Xenopus tropicalis: one gene and its partners. The protein of the gene in region 1 interacts with the protein of each later gene in a pairwise test. Links are inferred from orthologs where the notes say so. Each region holds a gene or a part of one and is shown in the gene's direction. Other genes may lie near its edges.

Region 1 (4,849 bases):
GACATAGGGGCTGAATAATGTGCACAGGTGGTATCAAACTAACAGAGGACACCTGTCCTGCTCCAGAGCCTACATAGACTGTGACTCCCCCCCGGCACCTAATTAAGTTCATCTTTGATCTGTATTTGGTTAGCAAAGACCTCCTCTAGTATTCTGATATCTCCCATGGCCATGTACAATTCTCTCAAAAGTAGAAGCACAGCACAAGCACTCTTAATTCCCCTGAATACATTGATGGGTTAAAATACAGTCCTAAGAAGAGCTAGGTCATGTAGAAAGCCCGTCTCAAATATATTTTAGATATAGCAACTTACATTATAACTTTTTGGCAACGCACAAGGTAACTGAGCAATTGGATTACAGGGTTTAAAACTCATTATAAAATTGCTAAAATTAATATAAAATAAAACACTACACTACATAAATTGGTATACTTACTATACAGGTGGATTGTATAGTCTTTTACAGACAGTGAATTGCTTAAATGGGATCTCTTATCCAGAAACCCATTATACAGAATGCTCTGAATGATGAGAAGGCCACCTCTCATAGACTGCACTTTAAGCAAATAATTCTAATTTTTAAAAGTGATTTATTCATTCTCTGTAATAATCAAACAGTGCCTTGTACTTGATGGTACCTAAGCTGTGTGAATCCATATTGGAAGCAAAACAATCCTTTTGGATTTATTTGACATTTAAATGATTTTTAGCAGGCTTGAGGTGTGGAGATTCAAATTACAGAAAGATCCCTTATCTGGAAAACCTCAAATCCCAAGCATTTTAGATAAAAGATTCTATGCTGGTACAACAAACTAGGCTTCTGTGCCATAGGTGAAGGGGTTAATGAGTATTTATGCTGATGAATAGAACAATATTGTGTTACTGTGCAGTAAGCAGTACCTGGAGCAGATTTTAGGGACAAACATCTGAAAAACACAGGTGTGACTTTTAGTTGGGAAAACACACATGTTTCCTATTTACTAAGAGGATGTTACATCTTCCTATTTCTGAAAACAATTTGAGGAGAACATTACTCAGGTTCTGCGTTACTCTCGCCAAAAGAGAACAATGTATACTGCTTACTTCCCGCTGTATAAAACTGCACATATATGTCCTATGTTGGTAAAAAGTTATAACCTAGTGCAGCTGGCAGGGGATTCTGGGAGTTATAGATTCAGTAACAGTAGGTTAATGGTGCCTTAGTTAAAGCTATTTATATTGTATCACATTCACTACACAGAACACTAAAAAAGAAATAAAATGGCATGTATTGCTTGGCATGGCACAATACTTTCCAATTGATTTCTTACGGTAGAATGAGCTTTTTGTCATTGTGTCAGTATATGAATTACTAAGACCTGCGTGCAGTTTCTCTATATCCATATTAGCAATGGGCAGAACCGGTTTAAGTTGTACATAGACAGTGCAGTGATGCTGTCGCAACTTGGAAGGATCTGTGAGTGCTAAAGTTTTGGAGAGAGTTTGTGGTCAGTACTGTGTTGCTAAGCCAGCCCCCAGCTCACATTACACACTATTTATATCCTCTCTTAGCTGTTCCCCCATTAAAGCAGCTCCTTGGGACCACCTTCTGTTGGCTTTAACCTCTCCTACTCTTGACATCTGAGCAGCTCTGCAAAAGCTCATCTTGGTCAGAGCAAACTGTTTAAGCACAGGAGACTGGCCACCAGGCTGAAGACCTGGATTATCTGATCTGTACTGAAAGTGTGCCGTTACTGTTTGGGAAAAATATCATTTTACAGTGAAAAGTGACAGCGTTGTGGAGTTTAATCCTGCCAGAATCTCAAGCCTGCAACTTGAAACTTGTATGCCATGGAACACACACTGTTTGGCTGCCTGCGCAGCCCCCATGCCACCTCTCAGGGCTTACACCCCTTTGCCCAGTCTTCTCTTGCCCTCCATGGAAGATCCGACCACATGTCCTATCCTGATTTATCCTCTTCTTCGTCCTCTTGCATATTAACTGGCTATCCCAATGAGGAGGGCATGTTTGGGAGCCAGCATCACAGAGGACATCATCACCATCATCACCATCATCATCATCACCAGCAACAACAGCACCAGACCTTGCAATCAAATTGGCACATTCCTCAGATGTCATCTCCTCCTGCCTCCACCAGACATAGCCTTTGCCTTCAGCAGGAATCTGGACCTCCAGATCTAAGTGGCAGCCCCTCTATTTTGTGTTCAAACACATCCAGCCTGGGCACTAACAGCTCAACGGGTGCAGCTTGTGTGACAGGGGACTATGGCAGACAGACCCTCTCCCCGGCAGAAGCAGAAAAGAGGACTGGCAAAAGAAAAAGTGACAGTTCAGGTAAGGATATTTGTGTTTACAATGTCTGAGCATGCAGCAAAAAGGAAATATATATTAGCTGGTAATTGTGATGCCTTGTATTGGATTAGCACTGCATTGCAGAAAGTGGCACAGCAGTGGTGCAAACCTAAGCAACTGTATGCCTAGGATATGCCATTAGCATCCATGCATACGGCAGCTTCTTCTGACAGTTCAAATTGAGCAGAGAGGGGTTTTTCTGTTGCTCAAAGCTTTGTGTTCGTACTCACTGGCAAATGCATTTAGCAGTGTAAAAAGTACTAGTTAGACACTTGCTAACTAGCATGTATACAATATTTCAGACATGTGCAGCTTGCTAACACTATAGGAATGTTATAAACGCTATGCAAGACATATTATAAGTAAAAAGTTTCTATTTAAACAGGAAATACTTGTATATTACATTACAATACGAACGGGCAGAAATAGTTCCCTCTTTTCAAGTCTTTCCTGGTGTATTCCTATGTAACAATCCTGTCAGTGTCAAAAGAATATCAAATTCCTTTAATAAGCAAGATTGAATCCAAGTATCATTTTTTCATTTGAAATTACAATCTATTTATTGACACAATCCTTCAGAAACCCGTGCTGCACTCCATCCTTATTCAGCCTGATCCAGTATCACTGCAGTATTATAACAAGAAATGGAGATCACTTGTTGACTCCTGTTTCTCTCAGCAGCCAAACTATTACAAATGCAATTTTATGGCAGATAAAAAGACAATTGGCACATTTAGACTGCCCATTCCCCCTTCCTGCAGGAATAAAATAGAGAGATTTCATCCCAGGGAGGGCAGCCTTTTTTGCCCGTCCCAGCAACTGCAGAAAGGTGTTAATTATATTATCAGCTAACACCTCCTCTGGGAAAGCCATATACACAGTCTGCATCAAATTAAGAGTTTAATTAACAAAGTGCAAAGTGATGGGTAATATTTGCTTTAATTCAGTCACATAAGCCACTTCAGTGAAATCAGTTCTTTTGAGCCTATTACATCACTTTCACTGATCAGAATCTCTGGCAGACCATAATAATATATACATTTTTAATCCGCTGCATATCAATAGTGATATGAATAACTACCAATCAATATCTAGAACTGAAAAAGTCAAATGATTCATAACAGACACCTTCCGTCATACCTGAAATACCCCAAACAGACATGAACACTAAAATCCTCTTTTCCATTTCCATTTAAAATGGCAAATTCTAGTAAAAGAAATACAATATACGTGATACTTGCATATCAGTAGCATAAGAAATGAACATAGTATATCACACTGAATATAAACATAACTGAAATATGTATTATATGTTCCAGTTCATTGGTGATTTCGATGCTTATCATATATATATTTATATATATAAAGTGGAGTAGCTTTATCCTGCTATTAGATGATGGCGAGAGATAAGTGCAACTATATTAACTCACTAATCAGACAAGTGGTCAGTGGAATAAGTGAAAGCGAAGTCATAATTGGAGATGACCTGCTTACCATTCCTAATTAAGTCTTATGAGATATTCTGATTGGGATGAATGGTTATTCAATAATTATAAGACATGAATGACAAATGAGTAATTCGTGACATATGTTTGACCTTATTTTTTCTTCCAGGCTTGGGGCTTTAAACAAGACAACTTTTCAAAAGTTATTATTCCAGTGTTTAATTAGTCTGTCTAGGCTTGCAATGCTTTTAAACCTCTCCCCCCCCTTCTGTTTTGTCTGTTTAGGGAAGATAACATTGGCAAGCGTTTAAAGAAAATAAATTACCAGGAAATCTATACCTAATCACAGAGCAAAAATGACAAACTAGCTTCATTAACCACGGTGTATCCAATAACTGGGTCCTGGCGAATTTGAGAAACTGCTGTTCTTTCTTTTAGAGTCACTTCACAAACAATTGTTTTAAGGGCATTTGGTTTCTGGAGAAATGAAAGGATGGCTTTGTGAAACAGTATACCTATCCAAATTATACAATCTAGAGTCAAAGTTAATGGCCCGGACCGTGTCCTATCCATTATATGTGCATATTTCGACATAGAAAAATCTAAACTATGGGCGTCTAGGGGTTGCTGAACTGCAATCATCAGCCTTTAGCCTTAGGCTGTGACGAGAATGCTGTAGTTTATCAAGAGCAGGAGGGCCCCAGGTTGGATGTCAGTCCTGTAACACTATTTTCCTGTATCTTTTAAGCCTCGTCTATCACTCAAGTTACCTTTTGTGGGGTGGGGGGGGGGGGGATTTGATGAGAATTTCACAAGCGATGTTAGAAAGCTGGTACTTATAATTAAGCCTACTTTGGCTAGTGATACCCTTCAGCAGACCACCAGAATAGCACCTAGAGAAAGTGCAATTAGAATAATCCTTATCATACCCTTTCAGCCATGTGCGCACTTCTGACTGTTGTGCATTCTGTCTGCAGAATCATGTACAATTAGGTTAGTGGTCTAACATTACAAGCTACAATCAAAGGGCTTTCCTCTGGGACCAATAA
Region 2 (4,066 bases), on another chromosome or scaffold:
CCAGTTTTTTTTTTTTTTTATTTTATTATTATTTCTGCATAATTAGAGAAAATGTAGTTTTAAGCAATGTTACACTATACATTGCACATCCCCATCAGTTACTTATAACTGTACAGCAGTATTTGTTTATCCCTTTCTGTGTTTTTGGCCTGATTCTTAACAGTTACAGGTGTCAGGACCCCTTCAGGCCTTATAATCAGCTTTTGTGTGCCAGAGCCAGGAGTGCCAAGCATGTAGCAGCCAAACAGATGATGCTTTTCATAGCAGTTACAATACACATACATTAAACATTTTCATTTCAAGTTATCTTGGAATGTTGCTTAGAATCACACTTTTCTTTATTATGCAAACACTTAGGGGCACATTTACTAACCCACGAACGGGCCGAATGCGTCCGATTGCGTTTTTTTCGTAATGATCGGTAATTTTGCGATTTTTTTTTCGGCGTCTTTACGATTTTTGTGTAAAAACGCGAGTTTTTCGGCGTCTTTACGATTTTTGCGTAAAAACGCGAGTTTTTCGTAGCCATTACGAAAGTTGTGCAAAGTCGCGATTTTTTCGTAGCGTTAAAACTTGCGCGAAACGTCGCGCCTTTTAAGTTTTAACGCTACGAAAAAGGTGCGACTTTGCGCGCAAGTGTTAACGCTACAAAAAATCGCGACTTTGCGCAACTTTCGTAATGGCTACGAAAAACTCGCGTTTTTACGCAAAAATCGCAAAGACGCCGAAAAACTCGCGTTTTTACGCAAAAATCGTAAAGACGCCGAAAAAATCGCAAAAAAATACGAAAAAGTCGCAAAATGTTCGTTTCCAATTCGGATTCGAAATCGTGTCTTAGTAAATCAGCCCCTTAGAATTACTTTCATTTTTGGGTGGAGGACTCTTTTAAAACCAGAGAAGTGTTTTATGTATATTAGAAAGTTTGAAAGATGCACTTGTACTTGCCTATAATATAATATTTATACAGCAGGGAAACCAAGTATTGAACACGTCAACATTTTTCCCAGGAAAGATTTCTAATGGGGCTATTGACATGAAATTTATACCACATGTCAATAACAACCCAAGTAATCCACACATTCAAAGAAATAAAAAATCACACCTGAGCAATGCATGTGACTAGTTTCTCCATACAGGAGACGCCTTGAAGCTGTCATTACCAACAAAGGCTTTCCTACGAAGTATTAAATATATTTCAGAAAGCGTGTTCAATGCTTTATCCTTGTGTCATTCCACTTTATTACACATAACTTAATTTATGGATTTATTTGTTTTGATTTCTTTGTATGTGTGGATTACTTGGGTTATTGCCAATATCTGTTGTGAATTTCATGTCAGTAGCCCCAACAGAAATTTATTTACCGAGAAAAAGGATGTGTTCAATACTTGTTTTATGCTTATAAATCTGTGGTGTGTGTGTTTGTACACTATAGTTTACTTTTGACTTTTGTCTCTCCCTCCAGCAGGCATCAATCTATTGAACCCTCAGTGCCTGATTCAGAGTTCAGCCCTGCATTATTTCAGCCATCACAGGAGCTTCCCACACTGATTAATGGAACTGACCATCAGCCCAAAAGTGCCATTATGTTGGATCACGATTTTGCCAGCCCTCAAAAATTTAACTACTTCCAAAGGAAGAGAAAGCACCTCCAAGAATATGGGCATATAGGTAAAGGCGGGCCTTTTTCCTCATTGATGCAAATACGGAAAACACAGTCAGTCCATGATCTTGTACATGAAGGTAATGTCAAGACTGCTTCATGAACAGTCACACTTTCATTAATTATGGGGTGAAACTAGAAGTGATTTTATCCACTAGCACATTAGCGGGGAATAACTTCAGAATTCCTTTCATAGTCATGACTGGTAGACAGAGTTCAGTTATATAGAACTGGGATAAAATGCCCCTCTTGTCACATTGCCTCCAATGTACTTACACTCTCTAATCTATTAAATTAATACTTCATTTAAATTCTCCTTCAGGTGATAAAACAGCAGCCAATGGAGGTGTTGTAAAAATGCGTTCCCAAGTACAGACAGCAGCTGAGAGAGAAGAGAAGGCCATTCGTCGTCGAACTTTGCCATCCAACCTAATAAAAGTGGAAAATATTACCTCTGGTACACCCCATGCAAAGGATGGAAAATCTGCTAAAGGCAGATCCTACATGAATCCAACCACAAGCTCCATGGCTAAAATTTCTCGGAGTATGTCGGTGGGAGAAAATCTAGATATTGGAGATAATCAGGACACGTCTTTGAGTTCAGATGGAAAAGGCAATTGTGAATCCGAGACAGGGGCTGTCACCAGTCTCATAGAGACAGAGAAGAACAGGCAAACCGCTAAGGAGACTGTCATTATCAAACCACATTTACAGCCTGTCACAAACTGTTCCTCAACCAAGACTTTTCAGGCCAAGAATCGAGCACACCTCACTCTAGATATTGCTAAACCATTGCCAGACCGACCCCTCCTGTCCTTTAATAAAGGCAAAGGGCAACTGGAGATGGAGTCTCCAAGATCACCAGCAAATAGCTGCAAAGTCAAAAATTCCTTCACAGAGTTAACTTGTAGGAATGAGAACCATTCATCTGGTGCTGTAGAAAAAATCAGTCCATCGGAGGACTATGGCTGTGGTAAAAGCAAAGATGATGATGTTAAGGCAAACTCTAAACCAAATCTATCTCAAGAAGCAGCGGAGTTATTTTCTGATCTGTTAAAACCCATTCACAGAGGCAGAGCTTTTACTATTGGCCATACTCCCGACCATCACTCAGGACTTTGTTCTGAACCCATCAGACCTAGATCTCCCTCTCTTAATGCAGCACCAACACAAAATTCAGGTGGGCATAAGCACCCACCACTGGTGGTTCCACCCTTTCTGTCTCCTATCTGTGTGAGTCACCTTCTAGCTCCATCTCATCTTTCTCCATCCAGTCTCTGGCCTATCCCGCTTTCTCCTCGTTTCATAAGTCAAGCCCAGAATGGTGAGACCTTTGTTTCTTGCCTTTTTCTTTCATATGTTGCATGTATGTGCATGGGAGTGCTGCATGGTGTAGTTTAATTCAAAGTAGGCACAAGTGTTGAGCTTAATACATACATGCATAACATGTTCTATTCATTCCTATTTCTCAAATGGTGAATTCTAATTTTCACCCATTGAAAAATAAGCTTCTAAATATCCCCTAAGAATTAATAGAACATGGGTGAGTTTTTGTGTATTAATCTCTAAACTCACATTTTGATACATCCGCCTCTACGTGTGTAACTGGAAAATACCCCTATCAACAGATCTCTTGTATATTTATTTGTTTCGAAGGAAGATTATAGCAATGAGTTTTTGGCAGGCAAATACACTTTATTAATGGTCTGCCAGGCGGCACAATATTCCTGCTGAATTGTGCTTAGGACAAGGATCAACATTGCTGTGCTAGATACTGGGATAGCACAATATCCCCTCCTTATCTTGTGATAAACATATACCATTCCATTACTGGCTGTGTGGCAAACCCCCCAAACAATGTAACACCTAGTCATGGAGATGTCATGTAAGGGACACATCTCCTCACAGGAAGGCTGTAGGATATACCATAGCTTGTAGTCATCCTGGAAATAACTCTGACAAGCCTGACAAGACATTTACAGAGAGTACATTATTCCATACAGTATTACATTTTTCTTACATTTTTGTGTGTACCAGACCACTGGTCAGTTTGTCTTCAGCTATCAACAGTTCTTAGCATCAGAGAACAAAAGTCTCTCTAAATACATGTACTTTCATGCCTGTTGTATAAAAGTTTGTTTCCTACATGTGAGTGTGTGGTCTCTCTCTAAGGTTAATGGTTATGATGCTTCTTTATTTCAGCATCGTCTGTGAGTTTTGAGCAGTGTGAGCTAATTGCTTCGGAGCTGCAGGACAGTCTCCGCAAGGCTCTGAGCTTGTACCGATCTGTGAGTACTCAACCTTCTGTGCCCTGTTATATGATACATTAATGCACATTTCCATACAGGAACCTATTGCTTAAAAGAACAGTAACACCAACAATAATAGAGTTGGCTGAATAAAAG
Region 3 (4,066 bases), on another chromosome or scaffold:
GAAACGCATCGATGTGAGTGTGGAGCAATAAAATCTATTTTTGATACTTTAAAGTATATTGAGCCTTGAGTGCTTTCAACTGACCTCATGTGGATAATTTTTTGGTGAGCACCCGGTGTCTGGCTTTGGAGTGGTGAGTGCCGTCAATGGAACAGATATATAATATATATAGAATTTTGGTTTTTTTTCAAAACGCAATAGTTAATTGAGCCTCTCCAGCAGAATCCTGCATTGAAAACTGTTTTTTAAAAGCACAGATTTTTTTGATATTTTCATATAGGGCTAGCGGTGTTCTTCATTTCCCAGAATGCCACAGCCATGTGACCTGTGCTCTGATAAACTTCAGTCACACTTTACTGCTGAGCTGCAAGTTGGAGTGATATAACCCCCTCCCAGCAGCCGATCAGCAGAACAATGGGAAGGGAGCAAGATAGCAGCTTCCTGACACCTGTATTGCTTAAAGTGGTAGATATCAGAATAGCACTCAATAGTTGTGGATAACCTTGAAGGCATACAATATAACTGTTATAGGGCTGCTAAACCTTTGGGTTGGTCCAGTAAGTTCATTATATATATATATATATATATATATATATATATTATTTCTAGCCATAAATTTTTTTTTTTTTTTTTACTTTAACGAAAACTTGTGCATAGATTATTTTTATGCTAAAAGCACTGATGGCATTTTAATGCTGCATACTTTCTTGGGAAGATCATCTCATAGGCGCCATTATCTCAATTGTCTATAATGAGGAGGTATTTCAAATTATTTCTCGCATTCTTTCAACTTGTTCTTCCCAAGAGTACATACAGGTGGCAACCAAATGGCAGACGTGCTGTTAGACTTAATGTATCAAACATATCTTAGATGACAAAAAAAGACTCTCATCCAAACATTAGTGTACATCCTTGTAATACATTTCTATTTTTGCTGCAGTGCAAGTACAGGTATGGGACCTGTTATCCAGAATACTCAGGACCTGGGGTTTCCGGATAAGGGGTCTTTTCATACCTTGGATCTCCATATCTTAAGTCTACTAAAAATAATTTAAGCTTTAAATAAACCCAATAGGATTGTTTTCCCTCCAATAAGGATTAATTATATCTTAGTTGGGATCAAGTACAAGGTACTGTTTTATTATTAAAGAGAAAAAAGAAATCATTTTTAAAAATTAGAATTATTTGCTTATAATGGAGTCTATGGGAAATGGCCTTTCTATAATAAGGAACTTTCTGGATAACGGGTTTCTGGATAACTGATCCCATACCTGTACTTTATTGATCAGAATATAGTTTCTAGACATACCATATTCCTGTAGTGCAGAGGTTGTTGGGCGTATTTGGCCAGGCCCTCCTATTAATATAACTGACCGCTAAGCTGTACTTCCAGGCATACCCAAATCTGTTGCTAACTGGCTTTCAGGCTGGCCCCACTAAGCACACTTTGACCACCAAAGGAAGGCAGCACCACAGTTTGGGAAAAGTTGTCAGAGTAGTTAAGCTTACCAACTCCCCTTTTTTTAAAAAGTCTTCTATCTGCTATGTGTCACATGGATCTAATCAATATGTTGTCTGCCGGTGGGATGGCATTTCGGGGAAATTTGTTGCGGGCGACTAATCTCCCTGCGTGCCAGAGCCCTTATGCCAAGTTGAGGTAGCCTGAATATCCAGAAAATAACCACCCTGTTCACTTTGGTTTGCAAAAATGAAATGGTATAAAATATTGGTCGAAAACTGTAATGACCCTACCCCTTAACATATAACAAAAATGATGGTTAACCAGTTAAACACTGATGACGAAGTAATGATCTTAATCATGAAATCAGATTTCAGTATTTACATTTTGGCCACAATTAAAATGTTTACATTTTAATGTATTAGTTGAAGTACAGCAGTATGATCTCTAATGATTTTCTTTTTTCTTTAGTTTTGGTCTTAGCAACAAGTTTGAAGCAGAATTCCCTTCTTCCTTAACTGGCAAGGTATGTGTCAAAAACAAAGTTTAAAGACAAACAATTTGCTTTCTTTAATACTGTTCTCATACTTAGTAACATTTTCCCCCCTTTCCAGGTAGCACCTGAAGAATTTAAATCTAGTATTAACAGAGTCAACAGTTGTCTTAAGAAGAATCTTCCAATTAATGTCCGCTGGTTACTTTGTGGATGCCTTTGCTGTTGCTGTACATTGGGCTGCAGTATGTGGCCAGTTGTTTGTCTAAGTAAAAGAGTAAGTTGACCAATTCTTGGCTTCTTGATTTTGTCTTACAGCTTAATCATGTAATGTGCTACTGTGTTCTTATTAATAATTCTCTTATTCCACAAGGCTTTGTTGTAATATGCTTTTAAAGAGGGCATATTTCTCTTCATACCTATCTTCAATGTATTTTCTTTCATACCCAAAATTTGCTTATAGCTGATGTACTTTCCTTTTCTTTATATTTGTTATTACAATCTCATACTCCTAGCTTGTGGTGCCACTGAGAGGCAGTGCATATTACCCCTAATTACAATTAGTAAATGGGTTAAATAGCTTTTAGTTAAAAGGTGTTACATTTCTGCAGAGATGATTCCTGTAATGAGGTTGGGAAAAAAGGTTACGAACCATTGTGCACATCTTATTTTGAATTTTACTAGAGCTAACACCATTTGGGTCTTTGTAGAAGTATACATTTTGCTTATTTATAATTTCAAGAGAATTAACTTATATGCAATATGGCTCATATGAAGATTTCCACTAGGTATATAGAGTTCTGGCAGCCTTACTTAATTAGCTTTCCACTAATGTGTTATTCACTTTCTGTAACACTTAAAACGTGTTCTCTTAGGGGACAATGGATGCTGCATGTTTGGGCAGGTAAAATGTATGGTGGACAAAACACTCCATATCTCTTATGTATAAATGGCTGTTCCTTTTACATGTGGGTCTAAGCAATTGCCATTTAAATAAATAAGGAAGCATTTCCAGATGATTTATTGTCTGCCCCCAGGCTATTAAACACTTGTGCAACAATATGTGGTGGAATGCAGGGGAACACAGGGCAAAATGCCCATGTGTAAGGGCCCTTAAGGGAGGCCTTAACTCTTTACAAAGCTTTCCCATGTGGCTGGTAATCTCTAAGGTAGATGGTTTAAAACATAATTACAGATTCAAGGAAGTTCACGTATGAGAATACTGCTTATAAGAACTGTCAGCCACCTTGCTGTTATGTTAAACCAGAAATTTATGTTAAACTTAACTTTTATTATCTTATAATCAAGAGTAAATGGGAACTATTAGAAACTCAGAAGCCCATATTGTGCTGTATAATTAGATTTTTAGCATTTTTTTTTGTAAAGTAAAAGTAAGATACACACACATTTGTCTTAACAGTTTGACCTCCCAGTAAATACCATTTTTTTTTCTTCACCTATAAAGACTTTTTGTTATACTTCCCCTTTAACATTTTAAGTGCAACCAAAGAGCCACCCAGAAATGTAGAATTTGTTGCAGGAAGTCTGATACTAATAAGTGGGCATCATGGATTCTACATTTCCAGGTGCCTAATCAACATATTGGTTTCATGGCAGCGGGTGTAATAAATCAAACATCCCACCATATCACCATGAGGGATAAGCAACTTCGTATTTGGCTTCTTTTTTGTAATTTCTTATGTTTTGAATTATTTGCCCTTCAGCTCATTGCCCCTTTAATCTGGAATTTTAAATGCTGTTTTCCGAGGTCAGTGGCCCTAGCTTAGCATTCAGTATAAAGCTTAATATTTGTCTTTTTATTATGGTTTTTTTCATATAATTTCTTAGAAAATTCCATACTGTTGAGTAGCACTACTGCTAAGGGCATTGAATTGGTCTGTGCTAAAAGTTAATTTTAAGTTTCCCTTTGCCTACTTGACGTACAGTTTCACATAAGGAAAGCCGGGAACTATTTTTGCCTTTGAGTTAGGAAAGCATTTGCTTTGCATGTGATAATGATAATCACTTCAGATGAAATATGTATAACCATGAATTTTAAATGAGATTTCTGTCCACTGGCCATTGGGGGTATCTATTCAACAGACAAAAAAGAA
Region 4 (4,859 bases), on another chromosome or scaffold:
TTTAGGTGAAATCTGATTGGCTGTTCTTGGCCCCACCCACTTTTCTAAACTTGTAACATGTAGACATCCAGAGAGAAACATGTAAGTCGCCGGCGGGATGGCAGACGCGGCGGCGCGATTTCGCGCAAATCGCCGAAAAAGACTCGCGAGTCTTTTTCGCCGATTTCCGGAAATCGCCCCGCCGCGTCTGCCATCCCGCCGGCGACTTACATGTTCGCCGGTGGGATGGCAGGGGTAGGCAACTCGGGGAGATTAGTCGCCCGCGAACAGGGAGTTTTATCGCGGGCGACTAATCTCCCCCGTGTGCCAGAGCCCTAAACACACGTAGAGACAGTTATCAGTAAATGATCAGTGTCTGTTTTAGTAGCCGTGACAAGTAGCTGATACTAGTAGCTCCGTGTGTCTTCACCCTTAGCCAATCAGAGCTTAAATGAAAGGTACAGATCTGACATGTAACAGGATTCCGGAAGTGTGAGAGAGAGAGAGAAAAAGAGAGATTTCCTGAAGAAGCGTCTCAGTCAAAGCAAGTAACTGCCAACAATGACAGGCGTTTCAAAATGGCTTCTTTCACTTCCCCAGCCAGCACTGCGTTTAGTAAGATACGGTTGCACGTAAAAGACCCAGTTAATTACATTAATTATAATTATACTCTGTTACACCCTTTATTAGCAGAGCTGCCACCCCCCCCCACCCCCCTATCTCTTTGGAAATTATCTGATTTGGAAGGCTCTCCCCCATTTTTCCAAAATCTCACATCTCTCATCAATGTCCTGCAGTGAATTTCACGCGGGTAGAATTTTTCTGCTTCGGCGGCTTTTCTTCACGTGCGCGTGGCGTCACTTCTGGGGGCGTGCGTGACATATTGGGGACATATTCGCCGGTGCGCTGACTGCTCTGCGTATGTCAGTAATAGTGATGAGCGACTTTTTTCGCCAGGCATCAATTCACAGCCAATTTACGTATTTCGCCATTGGCGAATTGTTTTGCGAAACTTCAGAGAAAATTCGCTGCGGCAAAAATTTTTTTGTGGTTGTGTCAAAATAGGAGTGGCTGACAAAAAAGGGCGTGGTCGCTTTAAAATGGGGTGTGGTTGCGGCAAGATAGGCACGGTTGTGTCAAAAGAAAGGCGCGAATGCTTAAAAAAAGGGCATGGTTGCGACAAGATAGGCGCGGTCGTGTCAAAAGAAAGGCGCAGATGCTTAAAAAAAGGGCCCGGTTGCGAAAAAATGGGCGCGCCCGACAAAAAAAAGACGCGGACAACAAAAAAATCACTCGACAAAGACGTTTTGCGAATTTTGCTAACGTTTTGCGAATTTGCCGGTGAAGCGAAACGGATTCGCTCATCACTAGTCAGTAACATTACTGTATATGTGCGGCCATCTTTAGCCCCCCCAAACAAAAAACTCACCCCCCCCACACCACCTACGTTTGGGCAAATGAATAACCTGTCTAGAGATATATTGGTAATATAGATTAGATTGTAAGCTCTATGGGCCAGAGACCTCCTTCCTAATGTATCTTATACCACATTGCACGCAATCTCTGTGTACTTATACTTATTTATTGTACTTATTATAACACTTGCCCTCCCTGTGTGTATAATGTAAGACTGTACTGCGCTGCGCACCCTCCTAGCGCTTTATAAATAAACTTATATATATATATACATGAGTTATGTACGTTATTATATTACAGGGTTACAGGTTTCAGTGTTGCTATCATTCTGCTAACAGTTCCCATTTACATGTATTAGTAATAACCCGGAGCCCCCCAGGCTCCCCTATCCGGCACCCATTACAAGCGATCTACAATTACACGCTGCGTCTCTCTGAATCCGATAGCGAATTCTCCTTACCGTAAATACTGCATTAGCCGCGCACCCTACCGTACTCCCCTCCTCTGTCCCTCCTCCCGCAGGCGGACCCGGAACAAAAGTAGAGGATAAAAAAAGAGTAGCCGTGGCCCTTGGGAGCCGGTGCTGGGGAGGCGATCCAGTTGGACTCTTACAAGCTGGGCTCCTACGTGCCGAACCGAGCCGCCGGCATGGATGGGAATGTGCAGGAGGAGCTGGAGGCGAGTGATACATGTGCTGGGCTGGGGGTCTGTCTGTGCTGCAGGGGAACACACGGAACTATAACTCCCCGCCTGCCCCCGGGAAGCACGACTTGCGCGGCGGTGAGAGTTGTGGTTTCACAACACCCAGAGCTGATATGTTACAGGTGTCAGATCGTATGTGTCAGACATAGTTATATATATATATATATTATACTGAGGCTTAAGCTACACAGGCTGGCAGCCCAGAATCCTGGCTTCTTACTCATGTTTATTTGTATAGTGCTGATATATTCACTGTACAGCACTTACCCAATCCCTGGGCTGTAGAGCTGACAATCAGATGCAAGAACTGTAAGATTGTAATCAGGCAAATATAATAAGCTGGGGGTGGGTAATATCCCAGCATTGGTTACTGTAGGGGTTGGTTATTATCAGGGTATTGTTCTGCCCAGCATTGGTTACTGTAGGGGGTTGGTTATTATCAGGGTATTGTACTGCCCAGCATTGGTTACTGTAGGGGTTGGTTATTATCAGGGTATTGTACTGCCCAGCATTGGTTACTGTAGGGGTTGGTTATTATCAGGGTATTGTACTGCCCAGCATTGGTTACTGTAGGGGTTGGTTATTATCAGGGTATTGTACTGCCCAGCATTGGTTACTGTAGGGGTTGGTTATTATCAGGGTATTGTTCTGCCCAGCATTGGTTACTGTAGGGGTTGGTTATTATCAGGGTATTGTTCTGCCCAGCATTGGTTACTGTAGGGGTTGGTTATTATCAGGGTATTGTACTGCCCAGCATTGGTTACTGTAGGGGTTGGTTATTATCAGGGTATAGTACTGCCCAGCATTGGTTACTGTAGGGGTTGGTTATTATCAGGGTATAGTACTGCCCAGCATTGGTTACTGTAGGGGTTGGTTATTATCAGGGTATTGTACTGCCCAGCATTGGTTACTGTAGGGGTTGGTTATTATCAGGGTATTGTACTGCCCAGCATTGGTTACTGTAGGGGTTGGTTATTATCAGGGTATTGTACTGCCCAGCATTGGTTACTGTAGGGGTTGGTTATTATCAGGGTATTGTACTGCCCAGCATTGGTTACTGTAGGGGTTGGTTATTATCAGGGTATTGTACTGCCCAGCATTGGTTACTGTAGGGGTTGGTTATTATCAGGGTATTGTACTGCCCAGCATTGGTTACTGTAGGGGTTGGTTATTATCAGGGTATTGTACTGCCCAGCATTGGTTACTGTAGGGGTGGGTTATTATCAGGGTATTGTACTGCCCAGCATTGGTTACTGTATGGGTTTGTTACAATCAGGGTATTGTACTGCCCGTTATTATCAGGGTATTGTACTGCCCAGCATTGGTTACTGTAGGGGTTGGTTATTATCAGGGTATTGTACTGCCCAGCATTGGTTACTGTAGGGGTTGGTTATTATCAGGGTATTGTACTGCCCAGCATTGGTTACTGTAGGGGTTGGTTATTATCAGGGTATTGTACTGCCCAGCATTGGTTACTGTAGGGGTTGGTTATTATCAGGGTATAGTACTGCCCAGCATTGGTTACTGTAGGGGTTGGTTATTATCAGGGTATAGTACTGCCCAGCATTGGTTACTGTAGGGGTTGGTTACAATGAGGGTATTGTACTGCCCAGCATTGGTTACTGTAGGGGTTGGTTATTATCAGGGTATTGTACTGCCCAGCATTGGTTACTGTAGGGGTTGGTTACAATCACTGATTGTAACCAACCCCTACAGTAACCAATGCTGGGCAGTACAATACCCTGATTGTCAATCAGGGTATTGTACTGCCCAGCATTGGTTACAGTAGGGGGTTGGTTATTATCAGGGTATTGTACTGCCCAGCATTGGTTACTGTAGGGGTTGGTTACAATCAGGGTATTGTACTGCCCAGCATTGGTTACTGTAGGGGTTGGTTATTATCAGGGTATTGTACTGCCCAGCATTGGTTACTGTAGGGGTTGGTTACAATCAGGGTATTGTACTGCCCAGCAATGGTTACAGTAGGGGGTTGGTTATCATCAGGGTATTGTACTGCCCAGCATTGGTTACTGTAGGGGTTGGTTATTATCAGGGTATTGTACTGCCCAGCATTGGTTACTGTAGGGGTTGGTTATTATCAGGGTATTGTACTGCCCAGCATTGGTTACTGTAGGGGTTGGTTATTATCAGGGTATTGTACTGCCCAGCATTGGTTACTGTAGGGGTTGGTTATTATCAGGGTATTGTACTGCACAGCATTGGTTACTGTAGGGGTTGGTTATTATCAGGGTATTGTACTGCCCAGCATTGGTTACTGTAGGGGTTGGTTACAATCAGGGTATTGTACTGCCCAGCATTGGTTACTGTAGGGCAGTGATCCCCAACCAGTGGCTCGTGGGCAACATGTTGCCCCCCAACCCATTGGATGTGGGGAAGGGAGCAAATGCTCCTTGTGCCTTGGCTATAACTGCCCCTCCAGCTGCCCAGTATGGGAACCACCACCATAGGGAAAGTGCTACCGAGGTTCATGGGTGCTGTTTCTCCAAACCGGCTGTACAGGCCTCCCCTATATGATCCAGCATGGGAGCTGTTTGTGTAAGGAAACACTCAGAGCTCCACATACTGAGCTGTGGTTTTCTTTTGTGACTGCCGTGCCCTGGGTGACATGCAAACAGCCTGTCATGTTTTTGGCACTGGAGCAAATCCAGTTGAAAGCAAATAAACATTGTGGTCACGGCCAGTGCAAACTGCCTGACAGCGCAGAACTCTGTTTGTGTAGTATTGATCTCTGGGATACAAAG
Region 5 (4,066 bases), on another chromosome or scaffold:
TTCCCCTGCAACACACACAGTTGAGTAAAATCAGATCTTGGAAAGTAAAATCCAAACACTTAGGCTAATGTCCCACAGGGATATATAGTCACTGCGATTTTTAAAAAGCGTGTTGCTCGTCTTTTCCTAACAAAAATTACTAGAGATTTCTACAACTGAGCAATTCTATTTCCCACAAATCCAGCTGTCATATATCCCACAATTAGAAATTACATTAATTTACTTTCAGCGTTTCCAGTAGCTATGAATGACAATGCTTTCTTTGTAAAATCAGTCAAAAAAGGGTCTCATAGCGATTCGGAGCTATAAACGATTTGAAGTAGTATTGTCGGTTTAGGTACTGGTGATTTATATTCTTCTCTATGTAGAGACAAAACGAGCGACTTGTCGCTGGAACTCGCTTTTTAAAAAACGCAGCAACTAATCTTTCCGTGGGACATTAGCCTTACTGTGGTGTGCATATACATAGCCCAGAGTTGTTACAAGTGATCATTCAATACTCAATAGAATTGTACCCTGGCTGGAGCGTTTTTCAGCAAAGAGGAGAGGTGGCCTGGTGAGTGAGGTTAGTGATTACAATCACTGGGAAGTACCTAACAAATTGGTACCAGTGATCAATCCTTTCCTTGTGCTTTGGTAAGTATCAGGCCTAATTTGGAACCATTCCTGGTCTATGTGTTGGCTCACCTGAACCACAGGGGGTAATTTATTATTAACCATACAGAACAGAAATCTTGAAACATATAGCTGTGGCTGTGCTAAGCAAAAGGTATATGTGTGTATATATATATATATATATATATATATATATATATATACACAAAAATGTTCCAAATGTAATAACTGCATGTGAGTTTTGGCAAATGGTAAATTGGAAAATGCTATACAATATTCCAGAAGTCACTTAAATCTCTACTGTGAAAGAACTTCAACTATCAACCACATTATAAAGCCTAAAAAATTGGTACTGTGCTATAGTCCACTAATTTCTGTCAATGCATCCCTGTCCACAATAGCTGGAAATAATTCATGCTAAAAAAGTTATTCATATTCATTTGTTTTAAGGGCCCTGAAAAAATAGTATAAAATTAAAGAGATGCTACTTTTAGGTCCTGCATCACAGTTTTGTGCAGGAAAATCCTAGATTTACTATAACAGCTCTAAAATTGTCTTTCTGTAAACTATCGAGGTTTAATAAACTTTGATGTGCAACCTTGCAAGAAAATCAAAACTGATGCCTCTATTTCCAATTTGGTTAAACCCTAGAAAATTCTTTTGTTTTGATCCTGAAAACCTCAATCAGTGTTTTATTGTTCCCAGATGTACAGGTGGTGTTTCATGTCCTGATTATATCTGCTGTTTTGTTTCCTGTTCAGTACGCTTTCCAGAAGACATCGAAGATGAGAGCATGACATTTAACCCAGAGTACAGCCACCAGATTTTTGGTGACGAGTAAGTATATTTTTCTGCATTATCACTTAGTTACCATAAAGCATACCTACACATCATATGTTCCATAAAGTTGTTATCCAGCGGAGTACCGGTATTTGCACCTTCATAGGAAATACAGTTATCCTATTTAATTTCTTCTGGCAGAGTAAAAGATTTGCAACTTTATCTACAAGATTTAGCTAAATGCCTAAAAAAACAACACACAGGCACAGCAGCTCTATCACAGGAACTGTTTGTGCATTCAAACTAGGGATGCACCAAATCCACTTTTTTTCGATTTGGCTGAACCCCCAAACCCTTTGTAAAGGATTCAGCCGAATACTGATCCGAATCTGAATCCTAATTAGCATATGCTAATTGGGTTTTAGAAGGGTTAAATCTGGGAAAAATTTTCAACTTCCGTGTTTGTGTGACAAAAAGTCATGTGATTTTTCAGTTTGGTTCAGCCAGAGGCATGGATTCGGCCGAATCTAAATCCTGCCGGAAAAGGCCAAATCTTGACCGAATCCTGGATTTGGTGCATCGCTAGTTCAAAGCCCACAGGCAGTCCCCATCTTGGGTCTTGTAAGGCTGTCTTTAGCATACCAGTAGTTCATTGTGGTATGAGCTGATGTGGAGAAGCAGATTTTAGATATTCTCAGAAGTAAATGATAGTAGACCAGAGTATGTGCTGTGAATCAGCAAAAAAGATGTTCAGCTTATGAGGACATATTAAGAGGCACAGATCTTCACTGCTGTAAGCTTGTAGTGGCCTTGGGCTGGTGCAGACTGCCACAAATGGTGTTGCATGTCTAGACCACTTCTTTGTTGGTGCCTTACTTTTTTTTTTAAAGGGTCAGGGGTTATTTTAAGGAATAACTTCTTGTATTATGCAGACCATGATGCTGTGAAACAATGTAAAATAATGAATAATTAAAAACAACATCATGATAAAAATTAACGTGAACGCCATCTTTACCTTGCAAATATTAGGTATAGTGGTTCTCAAAGTTCATGTGAGAAAACCCACCAACATTGAAGAGCTGAAGCTGTTCTGTATGGATGAATGGGCTAAAATTCCTCAGAGCTGATGTGCTCAACGATTACCGCAAACATTTAGTTGCAGTTATTGCTGCACAAGTGGGTCACATCAAATACCGGGAGCACAATTCCCTTATTTTTGCCACAAGCAGATATGTTATTGAATCATATATATTTTTTAATCAATACATGAACAAATATAATAAATTTTTGTTTCACTAGGGTTTCTTTATCAACTTTTAGGACCTGTTTGAAAATCACATGATGTTTTAGGTCACACTCATAAAAAAATATAGAAAAAATTAAAGGCTTCACAAACCTTTAAGCATCCGGCTATTGTATGGAAAGGTTGGTTAACGCAATTTTTTTTTTCCAGAGAGGTAGCCTTTGGATACAAAGGTTTGAAGATCTTGTTGTACTACAGTGCTGGAAACTTATCTAATATGTTTCGGGTGGAGTACAGCTCTAAAGTTGACGATAAGTTTGATTTGGTCCAGGTAAAATGTTTAATATGTTTTTGTGCAGCTTAAATGTTTTATAGTAAAGTGAAGTGCATTGTTAGGATTGCATATATATGGTTTATTTTTATATTTACAGTAACATTGAACTTTTATATATAAGTGACAAAAGGGACACAAACAATGCAACTGTGGCTGTACTGACCATACTCTTTCTGTGTATGCCACTCCAGAATCGGCAGAGATTTCTTAGAAGCAGAGTATATAGTACTCTCTTATAAATCCACCAAAAGATGTCACTTCAGGAGAAAACATAGCTGGTTACATAATGCTGCAGATGTTTGCTGCTCCTGTAATTATGTGGAACATCTTTATGTGGATATCTGATTCTTGTGGAATTCTGTTTGTTTTAATATTTTGCTCTTCCACTGACTTCGACTGATTAGTTAAGGCTTAGACTAATATAGGATCTATTCTAAACTATGATATTTCCTTGTGGGTTTTTATTTTTTGCAGAAAGAGCAGATGCAACTTACCCAGCATAACAGGGGAAATTAGAAAATTGTGTAACAAGTTTAATATTTTAAACAGTAACAACAAAAAATGAAATCTTTTAAAGGAGATCTAAAGCCTAACTAAAGAAGTGTACAATATGTTTTGATGTTCTATATATACTGTATATATAGAAAATAAATATCGCAATATATGGCTGATTAATACTGATTATTAATACATAGCTGCTTAGAAACCAGTGCAGTTAGCATCAGAATAATTTAACTATCAGCCCTGTAGCCTCAGCTTATATGAAAGACAAACCTCATTTTCTGTTTGAAACTTGGGATGACCCCCTATGCTCAGCTTCTCAACAGTGTCATTTTGTGTGAAGTAGCAAAATCATGGTTTTGTTTTAGTGCTGTTTGTGATAACTTAGTTTTAACAATGAGAGGGAAATAACAAAACAAAAACTGTACTACCATGTTAGCTGGTGGCAAAAATAATAAATAAATATAAAAGCATTGCAGAAATGATACATATATTGGCTAACAATAAAAATACAGTGCAAGCTTTCAGAGCTGTAAATCCCCTTTGTGAGGTAAAATACAAATGAAAGCTGGAATGGCACAACGTATATACTG
Region 6 (4,066 bases), on another chromosome or scaffold:
GTACAATGAATTTATTGTATCTTACAATTATGTTATCACACATCATCAAAGCATATAGGAATTTTAGAATTAAGGCTACATCATCTTTAGCAATAGTAGGCATTTTGGAACCGATATCTTGATAGCATTGTAATTAAATCTTTGTACTTGTTGTTTACTCCTAGGTTTAGAGTCAAGAAGGCCAAGCTCTCCGTTAATTGATATTAAACCCATAGAATTTGGTGCATTAGGAGCCAAAAAAGAAATAGTCCAACCAACGGTACTACGAAAATCATATACACCAGAGGACTATTTTAGAAAATTTGAACCCCGCCTATACTCCCTTGATTCTAGTAATGATGATGTAGACTCACTGACTGATGATGAAATTCTAACAAAGTACCAGTTAGGTATGCTGCATTTTAGTACTCAGTATGATCTGCTGCACAACTATCTAAATGTCAGGGTGATAGAAGCCAGAGACTTGCCACCGCCAATATCTTATGATGGTTCAAGACAGGACATGGCTCATTCAAATCCATATGTAAAGATCTGTCTATTACCAGACCAAAAAAACTCAAAGCAAACAGGCGTCAAACGTAAAACCCAGAACCCAGTATTTGAGGAGAGGTACACCTTTGAAATCCAATTTTTAGAAGCCCAAAGAAGAACTCTGCTGTTAACCATAGTGGATTTTGATAAATTTTCACGACATTGTGTTATTGGAAAAGTTGCAATGCCACTGAATGAAGTTGACCTTGTTAAAGGAGGACACTGGTGGAAAGCCATCATTCCAAGCTCTCAGGTAAACTTTGTCCAATTATAATTATTGCTTTTCATTCTTGCAACAAATACAGTACCTTGTTATGAATGCAGAATGTTATTAAGGGTAAATGCATGATTGTAATTGTACAGGTATGGGACCCGTTATCCAGAATGCTCGGGACCTGGGGTTTTCCGTAATTCGGATCTTCTACCTTAAATCTGCTAAAAAAATTAATTAAATCGTATTTAAACCCAATAGGATTGTTTTGGCTCCAATAAGGATTAATTATATCTTAGTTGGGATCAAGTACAAGGTACTTTTTTATTATTACAGAGAAAAAGGAAACCATTTTTAAAAATGTGAATTATTTGATTAAAATGGAGTCTATTTGAGATGGCCTTTCCATAATTCGGAACTTAGACTTTGGATCCACATAAGTCATTTCTGGAAGCAGAGATATTTGGTAGCAAAACTCCGCAGGGGCTCATAAAGACTTTGGTCTCTATCATGGAATTTATAAAGGCCACACCTTCTTTAGGGGGATTGTAATAAAAGCGGTGGTTAAAATGGCATCTTTGCAAATATTTAGCGCTGCTCGCAATGTAATACTAAACTAAACATGTACTACATTGCAAATATTAAATACCTGCTTGAAGATGGCGTGAATCTTAACACAAAATAGGTTCAAATGTTTTATAACATACACTGCGCATTTATGCAAACAAAAAAAATTCCGCAATTGCAAACTTACAGTTGCAAGACATGCAAAGGGTTCACAAATGGTATTTTTCTGTTGCACAAAGGCAACATTTAATGCAAAGCTAAAATTTGTTAAAGTTTTTTAAGTTACCGACATATGTTACATTCCCGAAGATCCTTCTTTAACAATTAAGTAAATAAATGCTACAAATTGGAATCTTGAAATTACCATTTAGCATTTGTTCCATTTTAGACTTGATCTGGTCTTGTCTTTGTGTAGGCTACTCAGGTGCATTAACACCTTGGGGCAGATTTAGTAAGACACGAAAGCTCCTTGCGCATTTTCCCGATTTTTTTTTTCACGCCCGCGTGACTTTTTCGTATGCTTGTGCGAAAAATTCGGAAAGTTTCTGCCACTGTTTACAATCGTTCAGTACAAAAATTTGGTGGTTTTCGCATCGCCAATACGATATTATCGTGACTAATACGATTTTTTGTAAGCATTTTCGTGATATTTGGGATCTTCAAAAATTATCGTATCCAATCCAAATTTTTCCCATTCGGGATTCAAACATGTTTTAATGAATCGGCCCCCTTGGCTACATTTAATATGTTTCTTGGATACATTTAACATATTTTCGCCTATGTTTAACATATTTCTGTCCACCATTTTTCCACCATTGAGAAAAATATAGGAAAAATGTGATGTTATCAATATGCTTTACAGTATGCAGAAATGTGTTTGCATTGCTGTATTGGCTTTACACCCAACTAAGCCTTATGCATTTGCTGTAGACTCCTTTTTCTGTTTTGTTGTACCACAAACATAATGCATAATCTGCTTTGCTTTTTCAACTATGGCTTCACTGTCTTACCAGACAGATTTATGGGATGCCTTGTACACTGTTGGCAACTACTTTGATCATTTATGGTCATAAAGCCGCAAAGGAATACATTTTTTACCTCCATTATCTACCTGTGATGGAAGAATGAATATTTGTTATGGTGGTACCACACAGCTCCTTAATGCATAATAAAGGTATGAGATCCCTTATCCGGAAACCTGTTATCCAGAAAGCTCCAAATTACGGAAAGCCCATCTCCCATAGACTCCATTTTAATCAAATAATTCTGAATTTTAAAACTGATTGTACAAGTAATAAAACAGTACCTTATAATTGATCCCAACTAAGATATAAATAATTCTTATTGGATGCAAAACAATCCCATTGAGTTTAATTAATGTTTATTTGATTTTTTAGTAGACTTTAGGTGTGGAGATCCAAATTACAGAAAGACCCCTTATCCGGAATACCCTTGATCCCATTCATTCTGGATAATGGGTCCTATACCTGTACAGTAAATATTTCAGCTGTATGTTGAGGGGCATATTTATTATAGTCCATAAGCTTTATCTAGAGTGGGGTTTAATAACTAGTGTTCATGACACTATAGTCAGAAATAACATCAGACCCTCTGAGAATTATAAAGATGATAATGTTATATGGATAAAAAAATGGACATAGACTCACTTAAACAATATGGAAGTGTAATATTGTGCCACCCCAAGGGCTCCCCACACCACTAGATTAGGGGCCCCAGCCACTCGACCACTGCCATCCCCCCAGTGTGCATAGCTCATATTTACCTAGGCATGAGCGGGGGAGGGAGGGTAGTGGGGAGAAAAAAAAATACAACAATTGGTAAATCTTGTTTGAATACATGAAAGAAACTCTAACTGAAAATATCATTTTAATAATGGACCCAATAAAACAAACCTTTGTTTTCCTACTTCCTATAGTGTTTCTTATAGCCTTCATCCAACCTGCATTTTTAAATATAACATATGAAATATAATTTTTTTAGGAAAATAAATTGTTAATGTCTTATCTGTACCAATGTACTTTTTCTTATTGACTTTCAAGGCATGCATTGATTGTAGATTTGCTAATGGTACTGCAAGGCTAAATAAAGAGAGGGGGCAGGCCTGAGTGACTACATCTTTAGAACTCTTAGCAGCAGCAATACACTTACCTTATCGATAATTTAGGGACTAAAATTCTAGATTGAATGATACACATTATGACAGAAAGCAGGAGGAAACCATATCCAGTAGATATGTCCCAGCTATAACAAGAGCATAAAACAATCCTTCTGTTCGAAACTCCAGGCAAGTCAGTTCCTTGCCATTATTGCCATTTCTTTTACTTTGATCAGTGTAATGGTGGCATTCTTCCCTTCTTTATTACATTCCATTTTCTCATTGGTCTGAACATTGTACAACATGTACAGTCTATCAGCTAACAGCATTGAGTTCAGGCAATTAATTTTTAAACAATACCTTGTGGTTTTCTGTATTCAGGAAATTAGTCTTTTCTAATATAGGATACGTTCAGTGGACTATTCTTTAAGTGATGAACAAAAGGTATAATATAGCAATAATATGCTAAAAAGGTGCTGTATTGGATGAATCCCATATATCTCACAAATGGGGCAAGGTTCTATTAATATCAACTTTTGCATTAATAAGGTCCTATTATTATTATAAACAAGCATTTATAAAGCACCAATATATTCCACAGCACTTTACATTAGGAAGGTGTAAACAGTGTTGGACTAGCC
Region 7 (4,828 bases), on another chromosome or scaffold:
AACTAGTTCCATGACCAAATACAGTTGCTGGGAAAGATACTGCTACTAACTAGCCTTATATAAATTGCAACAAGCAGCCGTATTGCATTAACAACACTGCTATACATTTATATACATACATACATACACACACACACACACACAATTCTAGAAATACAATGTAGTTAGACTGTATCCGTTGACCCTTTCAGTCCTGGCCATACATCAAAGCAGTCATGCCAATGGGAATGGGCGGAGGGATGGTAGTGGCAATGGTAGGACGGACCTACTACTATGAAATCCCAGGAAGGAATGTGTATTTGCAGGAAACTCAAGCTCCCCCCTGGGGGGGACAGGTCACAGTTCTTCCTTCCCTAAGGAAATAAACGTGAAGCTGCCAAGATCACACAGGAGACAAGTGCAGGCACATCAGCGCGGAGCTGCGCATCCAACACTCCCCGGGTACACACGCAAGCTATGCGCGCCCCTCTCATTAACTCTCTGCGCCCCTATACACAGCCCTTATGTACCTTATACACAGCCCTTATATACCTTATACACGGCCCTTATATACCTTATACACGTCCCTTATATACCTTATACAAAGCCCTTATATACCTTATGCACGGCCCTTATATACCTTATACACGGCCCTTATATACCTTATACACGTCCCTTATATACCTTATACACGGCCCTTATATACCTTATGCACGGCCCTTATATACCTTATACACGGCCCTTATATACCTTATGCACGGCCCTTATATACCTTATACACGGCCCTTATATACCTTATACACAGCCCTTACTACTTTCCTGCAATTTTGCATTTATTCAGCCTTATCACAGAGGCGCAAAATGCGTTGCTGCCACTAAGCCGATCTATAATGGTATTGCGCTACAGTTTCTTGAGAATAAAACTCCAGGAGCTAATAAAGAATTCATAGAAATTAAATTACAAACTACAGCCTATTGAGTTTGAAAATGCTATGTGCACTGGATCCCCAAAATCTCAAGGGGCCTCTGGGAAAAAAAAAACAATTAATTAAAAATTAATTCAGGGATGACGAACCTTCGAGTACTATTACTGACTGCCCTTCAAGTTATTGCCCCAGCCTTCCTGCAGACCTTGGGTCCCTTGATTTGTAAGTGCCACCCTGCGCTGTTAGTAAATGACCGAAGTCACGCAAAGTACTGCTGACAGGGCCATTACAGGGCTGTTTGGGGCGAGTTCCAATCTAAAAGCCTACCCATCACCCCATAAGTGGGCACATTTTTCGCCCGGGTGAACAACAGTGACAGCGACCTGACGCACGTGAAATCTCCGCTAAAATCCACCTTGCAGCGATTTCGCTCTGAGCTACCGCAGCCGCCACTGCCCCGCCCCTCCCACTTCTAATCCAATCAGCGCCGCCACGGCAGCTGAAGGTTTGGTGTTTTTTCCCCTACACTATTCCGGAGAGCCAATGAGAAGGCCGCTGTGGAACAAACCCAGCGTTCCAGGAATCCATTCATACAGAGGCAGGAGAGCGCAAGGCGTGGAAGGTTGTTCCCTGTGGAGCTGTGAGTGATCGCTGCGAGGGTGACACCCTCATTCATCACCATTTATTCTCTGCCCATCGCTTCTCATGTGGATTTCCTATCCGTGCTGAGGATTTAAGCGGCGCTCGCACACCGACCCGAGGAATATATGCGTGGGGCCGCGGCTTTCTGTTTAAAGGACTCTTGATAACGTTAGCGTTTTGCGATAAGAAAAGAATCGCTGGAGTTTACTTGTGGCTGAAATAAAGGAGTTATTATAAGGAAAAAGTGTTGTAGTCCTTGTGCCTCCTCCCATCGCATGCAGCAACACGGAGCCTACGGTGCCTGCCTGCTGGATCGCTCCTACCCCTGACAGAGGTGCAATTGCCTTTCCTGCCCACCTTGGCGTTTGTGGATTTATTTGTTTCCAAGGACTACCCTGGCCCTAATTACTGTGGCCCCCGGAGGGAAAGCTGCTACAATCAGATACAGTAGTGCCAGCCCTGGGGATTTACTGGAGACATGTCCCATGCTTAAGCCCCCCAGTTCCGATCGGATTTGCCGCAGCCTGGAGTTGGACGTGTTATTGCTTGGTGCATGCTTGCACAGAGGTAAGTGTCTGTATATCTGGATAATACTCTGCTCCTGGTGCAAGGCCATAAGGCAAGGATCTTTTACTGAAACTCCCAATATGCCAGCAGGCTTGCCCAAGTGAGGGATAGAGTGTATTTGCCCCATGACCCACTATCTTATGTGCCCCTTGGATACAAATATCCAATCGTGTAATATCTTTTCAGAAGGATGCACAACCAACCTGCGGCTGTGCTGAACTGCAGCTCTCAGAATGGCACCTACAACCCACACTTGCAGTTGTTGTTCTACAACAGCTGGAGGGATGCAGTTTTGATACCCCCCAGCTGCTTTACGCCTACATATTGCTGCAGTGTAACATATCAGCAGGCCATGGGTCAGAGTAGGGGCCTGCAGGGTTGAAGTTGCTTCAATTCGAGTTGGGTGTCCCTGGCACAGAAACGTGTAAATAAACTGTTTACGCAGACCTAGAGCTAGGTGCCCCTACTTCTTTCAAACGCAGGATGGGGACACCTAGTGGTAGGTGCAGGTAGTCGGACTAGTGTAGGGTAGGGGCTATTTATGTTAATTCTTTGATTGGTTAAATCGATCCGATGCCACTTTACTGCCAGAAGAGTGAGTGTAGGGGCAGTGAAGAGGCGATAAAACAGATTCGCAGAGAAATCTCTATGTGGGAACGCTGGCACACCTGGTATGGGGTGCTGAAACCCGTAAGGGGTGCCTTGTTCTGGGGCTCCGAGCTGGAGCCGATGGGAAAGGGTGCTGCGGTTGGAATGTGCGGAAAGTCCGCCCCCCTGCGGCAATCAGCGCCTCTCCTCCTCCTCCTTCTCACAGTCACGGTTTGTTTTTCATTCATAACTTTTTCCTTCCTTTCCCGTCTCTCGCTCTCTGATCATTCGGATTCTCTCTCTGTAGCCCTCCCCACCCCAATCCATCTCCATAATTTGCCCATTCCGTCTCTTCCGATTGTCGCACGATTAGTTATCCATTTGGCACACACGGTACAGTTATTTTATAGGCATTTTCTAAGCCTCAGATCGTGCGATTTTCTTTCTTTTCTTCAGTGAGAGCGTTTTAGCTTGCTTGCCTTGTGCAGCTGGAGGTGTGACACCAATGGGCTGTAGGATGTGTTAGTGTGCCAGGGCAGTGTGGGCATGCACCTTTGCACTGCCTGGCTCTGGAGGTTGGGTGCAGCTGGTATCACCCCTCTTTTTAGCATCTGCCACTCATCTGGGCTTGGGAATATATATTCAGCTTTAAAGATCATTTTCTCAGCTTGCCTTAAAAAACTTGTGCCTAGGGAATCACTGGAACAGATAAGTAGGAGGTCAGAACTTGCAGCACAGACTGATTAGTTAGTTAGTTTGTCTCTTATTTCTCTCCTTTCTTCCTTTGTTTTGGTCACCAAGAACTGCCCTTAGGTAAATATTATTTGACAGGGAGGCATCACATTTATTTATTTCTCCATGGCAAAACTCTGGGAGTTAAATTTGCTTTAAACAAGAATAAATTAAGATAGAGCCCCTTTATCAGAATTATACGCTGAAAGACTGAAGCCCTTTTAGTATGGTGAATTTCTTTTAAAGTTATTACTGGGGTAAAAGTCTTCTCTTTTGGAAATATATCATTTCCAGTCATAGGATAGGTTATCATTACCAAGTAATCACTTTGTTCAGATGTATAGTAGCTAAACGAGAAATCCATTCTGTGACTTCTTGAAGTGCTACGGTATCTGGAGGCTTTGTGTTTTTCTTGAACCAGTTGCATCATGCAGAAGCAGAATGACTTTCATACATGGCAAAACATGATTTATTAAATTGTAATGGGAGTATATTAGATATGGGGGGGAAATGCAGTGATCTGCCTTGCTTGTAGTTTATCTTGTAACTGTCATCTGACATTTTTTGCTGTGATGATTTGAATTTGTATCTTATATTATCTCCAAAACTCCGTTCTAAATTATTTATCTTTTGTTGTGTGTTTTGATCGGCAGGTTTTCAGATGCATGCCAAGTTCACGTTGAATGCCAGAAATCAAGATCACTACAGATGGAGCTACAAAGTCAACATGGCATTGGTGGTTCATTAGTTGTGATACAGCAGCCATCTTTGGACAGCCGGCAACGGTTGGAATATGAACGAGAAGTTCAGCCAGCGGCTATCTTGTCCTTGGATCAGATCAAAGCTCTTCGGAGCAGGAATGAGTACACAGAAGGCCCATCCATGGTAAAAAAGCCTGGACCTAAAACTGTACCAAGGCACATTAAGCAGGAACGGACTCATGAAATCATACCAATCAATGTGAATAATAACAATGAGCACAGGCCCACTCACTGGGCTCACACGGGACACCCACCTAATGGAAGGGCTCCTGGGCTCAGCAGGTCTACTAGCACAGGTAGTGCCGCCAGTTCTGGTAGCACAAATAGTGCTTCCTCTGAGCAAGAACTCTTGGGGCAATGCCCACCACCCAGATCAGGCTCTGGTCACAGGACTGAAAGGATAGTGCGAATGCAGCCTAAGGCAAGTGCTTTGCCTGCTGAGGACCTAAAGAGCTCAATAAAAATGGACTATTCACAACACCGGTTTATCTGTGAACAGTGTGGGAAGTGTAAATGTGGAGACTGCACTGCTCCAAGGACCCTGCCTTCGTGCCTGGCTTGTAACAGGCAATGTCTGTGCTCTGCAGAGAGCATGGTGGAATACAGCACTTGCATGTGTCTGGTCAAAGCAAC

Evidence for each region.
Region 2: the proteins of meox2 (region 1) and mapkbp1 interact in binary tests that used the Homo sapiens proteins (3 or more experiments, as listed by UniProt). The two-hybrid records come from large-scale screens. The link is inferred for Xenopus tropicalis from reciprocal best matches to the Homo sapiens genes MEOX2 and MAPKBP1.
Region 3: the proteins of meox2 (region 1) and chic2 interact in binary tests that used the Homo sapiens proteins (3 or more experiments, as listed by UniProt). The two-hybrid records come from large-scale screens. The link is inferred for Xenopus tropicalis from reciprocal best matches to the Homo sapiens genes MEOX2 and CHIC2.
Region 4: the proteins of meox2 (region 1) and shfl interact in binary tests that used the Homo sapiens proteins (3 or more experiments, as listed by UniProt). The two-hybrid records come from large-scale screens. The link is inferred for Xenopus tropicalis from reciprocal best matches to the Homo sapiens genes MEOX2 and SHFL.
Region 5: the proteins of meox2 (region 1) and hat1 interact in binary tests that used the Homo sapiens proteins (3 or more experiments, as listed by UniProt). The two-hybrid records come from large-scale screens. The link is inferred for Xenopus tropicalis from reciprocal best matches to the Homo sapiens genes MEOX2 and HAT1.
Region 6: the proteins of meox2 (region 1) and syt17 interact in binary tests that used the Homo sapiens proteins (3 or more experiments, as listed by UniProt). The two-hybrid records come from large-scale screens. The link is inferred for Xenopus tropicalis from reciprocal best matches to the Homo sapiens genes MEOX2 and SYT17.
Region 7: the proteins of meox2 (region 1) and spry1 interact in binary tests that used the Homo sapiens proteins (3 or more experiments, as listed by UniProt). The two-hybrid records come from large-scale screens. The link is inferred for Xenopus tropicalis from reciprocal best matches to the Homo sapiens genes MEOX2 and SPRY1.

Annotation. Positions count from the first base shown.
Region 1 is NC_030682.2:36,890,722-36,895,570, reverse strand, and holds the start of meox2 (homeobox protein MOX-2), read left to right. Parts: upstream 1-1,682; 5' UTR 1,683-1,832; coding exon 1,833-2,337; intron 2,338-4,849. UniProt on the Homo sapiens protein: Mesodermal transcription factor that plays a key role in somitogenesis and somitogenesis and limb muscle differentiation. Required during limb development for normal appendicular muscle formation and for the normal regulation of myogenic genes.
Region 2 is NC_030684.2:105,031,019-105,035,084, reverse strand, and holds part of mapkbp1 (mitogen-activated protein kinase-binding protein 1), read left to right. Parts: intron 1-1,463; coding exon 1,464-1,741; intron 1,742-1,983; coding exon 1,984-2,841; intron 2,842-3,863; coding exon 3,864-3,949; intron 3,950-4,066. UniProt on the Homo sapiens protein: Negative regulator of NOD2 function. It down-regulates NOD2-induced processes such as activation of NF-kappa-B signaling, IL8 secretion and antibacterial response. Involved in JNK signaling pathway.
Region 3 is NC_030677.2:39,930,468-39,934,533, reverse strand, and holds part of chic2 (cysteine-rich hydrophobic domain-containing protein 2), read left to right. Parts: intron 1-1,930; coding exon 1,931-1,985; intron 1,986-2,073; coding exon 2,074-2,229; intron 2,230-4,066.
Region 4 is NC_030679.2:136,816,268-136,821,126, reverse strand, and holds the start of shfl (shiftless antiviral inhibitor of ribosomal frameshifting protein homolog), read left to right. Parts: upstream 1-1,930; 5' UTR 1,931-2,043; coding exon 2,044-2,073; intron 2,074-4,859.
Region 5 is NC_030685.2:67,594,509-67,598,574, reverse strand, and holds part of hat1 (histone acetyltransferase type B catalytic subunit), read left to right. Parts: intron 1-1,376; coding exon 1,377-1,452; intron 1,453-2,848; coding exon 2,849-2,969; intron 2,970-4,066. UniProt on the Homo sapiens protein: Histone acetyltransferase that plays a role in different biological processes including cell cycle progression, glucose metabolism, histone production or DNA damage repair. Coordinates histone production and acetylation via H4 promoter binding.
Region 6 is NC_030685.2:32,711,298-32,715,363, reverse strand, and holds part of syt17 (synaptotagmin-17), read left to right. Parts: intron 1-164; coding exon 165-784; intron 785-4,066. UniProt on the Homo sapiens protein: Plays a role in dendrite formation by melanocytes.
Region 7 is NC_030677.2:65,663,125-65,667,952, reverse strand, and holds the start of spry1 (protein sprouty homolog 1), read left to right. Parts: upstream 1-1,558; 5' UTR 1,559-2,100; coding exon of another isoform or gene 2,101-2,114; intron 2,115-2,134; exon of another isoform or gene 2,135-3,095; intron 3,096-4,087; coding exon of another isoform or gene 4,088-4,142; coding exon 4,143-4,828. UniProt on the Homo sapiens protein: Inhibits fibroblast growth factor (FGF)-induced retinal lens fiber differentiation, probably by inhibiting FGF-mediated phosphorylation of ERK1/2. Inhibits TGFB-induced epithelial-to-mesenchymal transition in lens epithelial cells.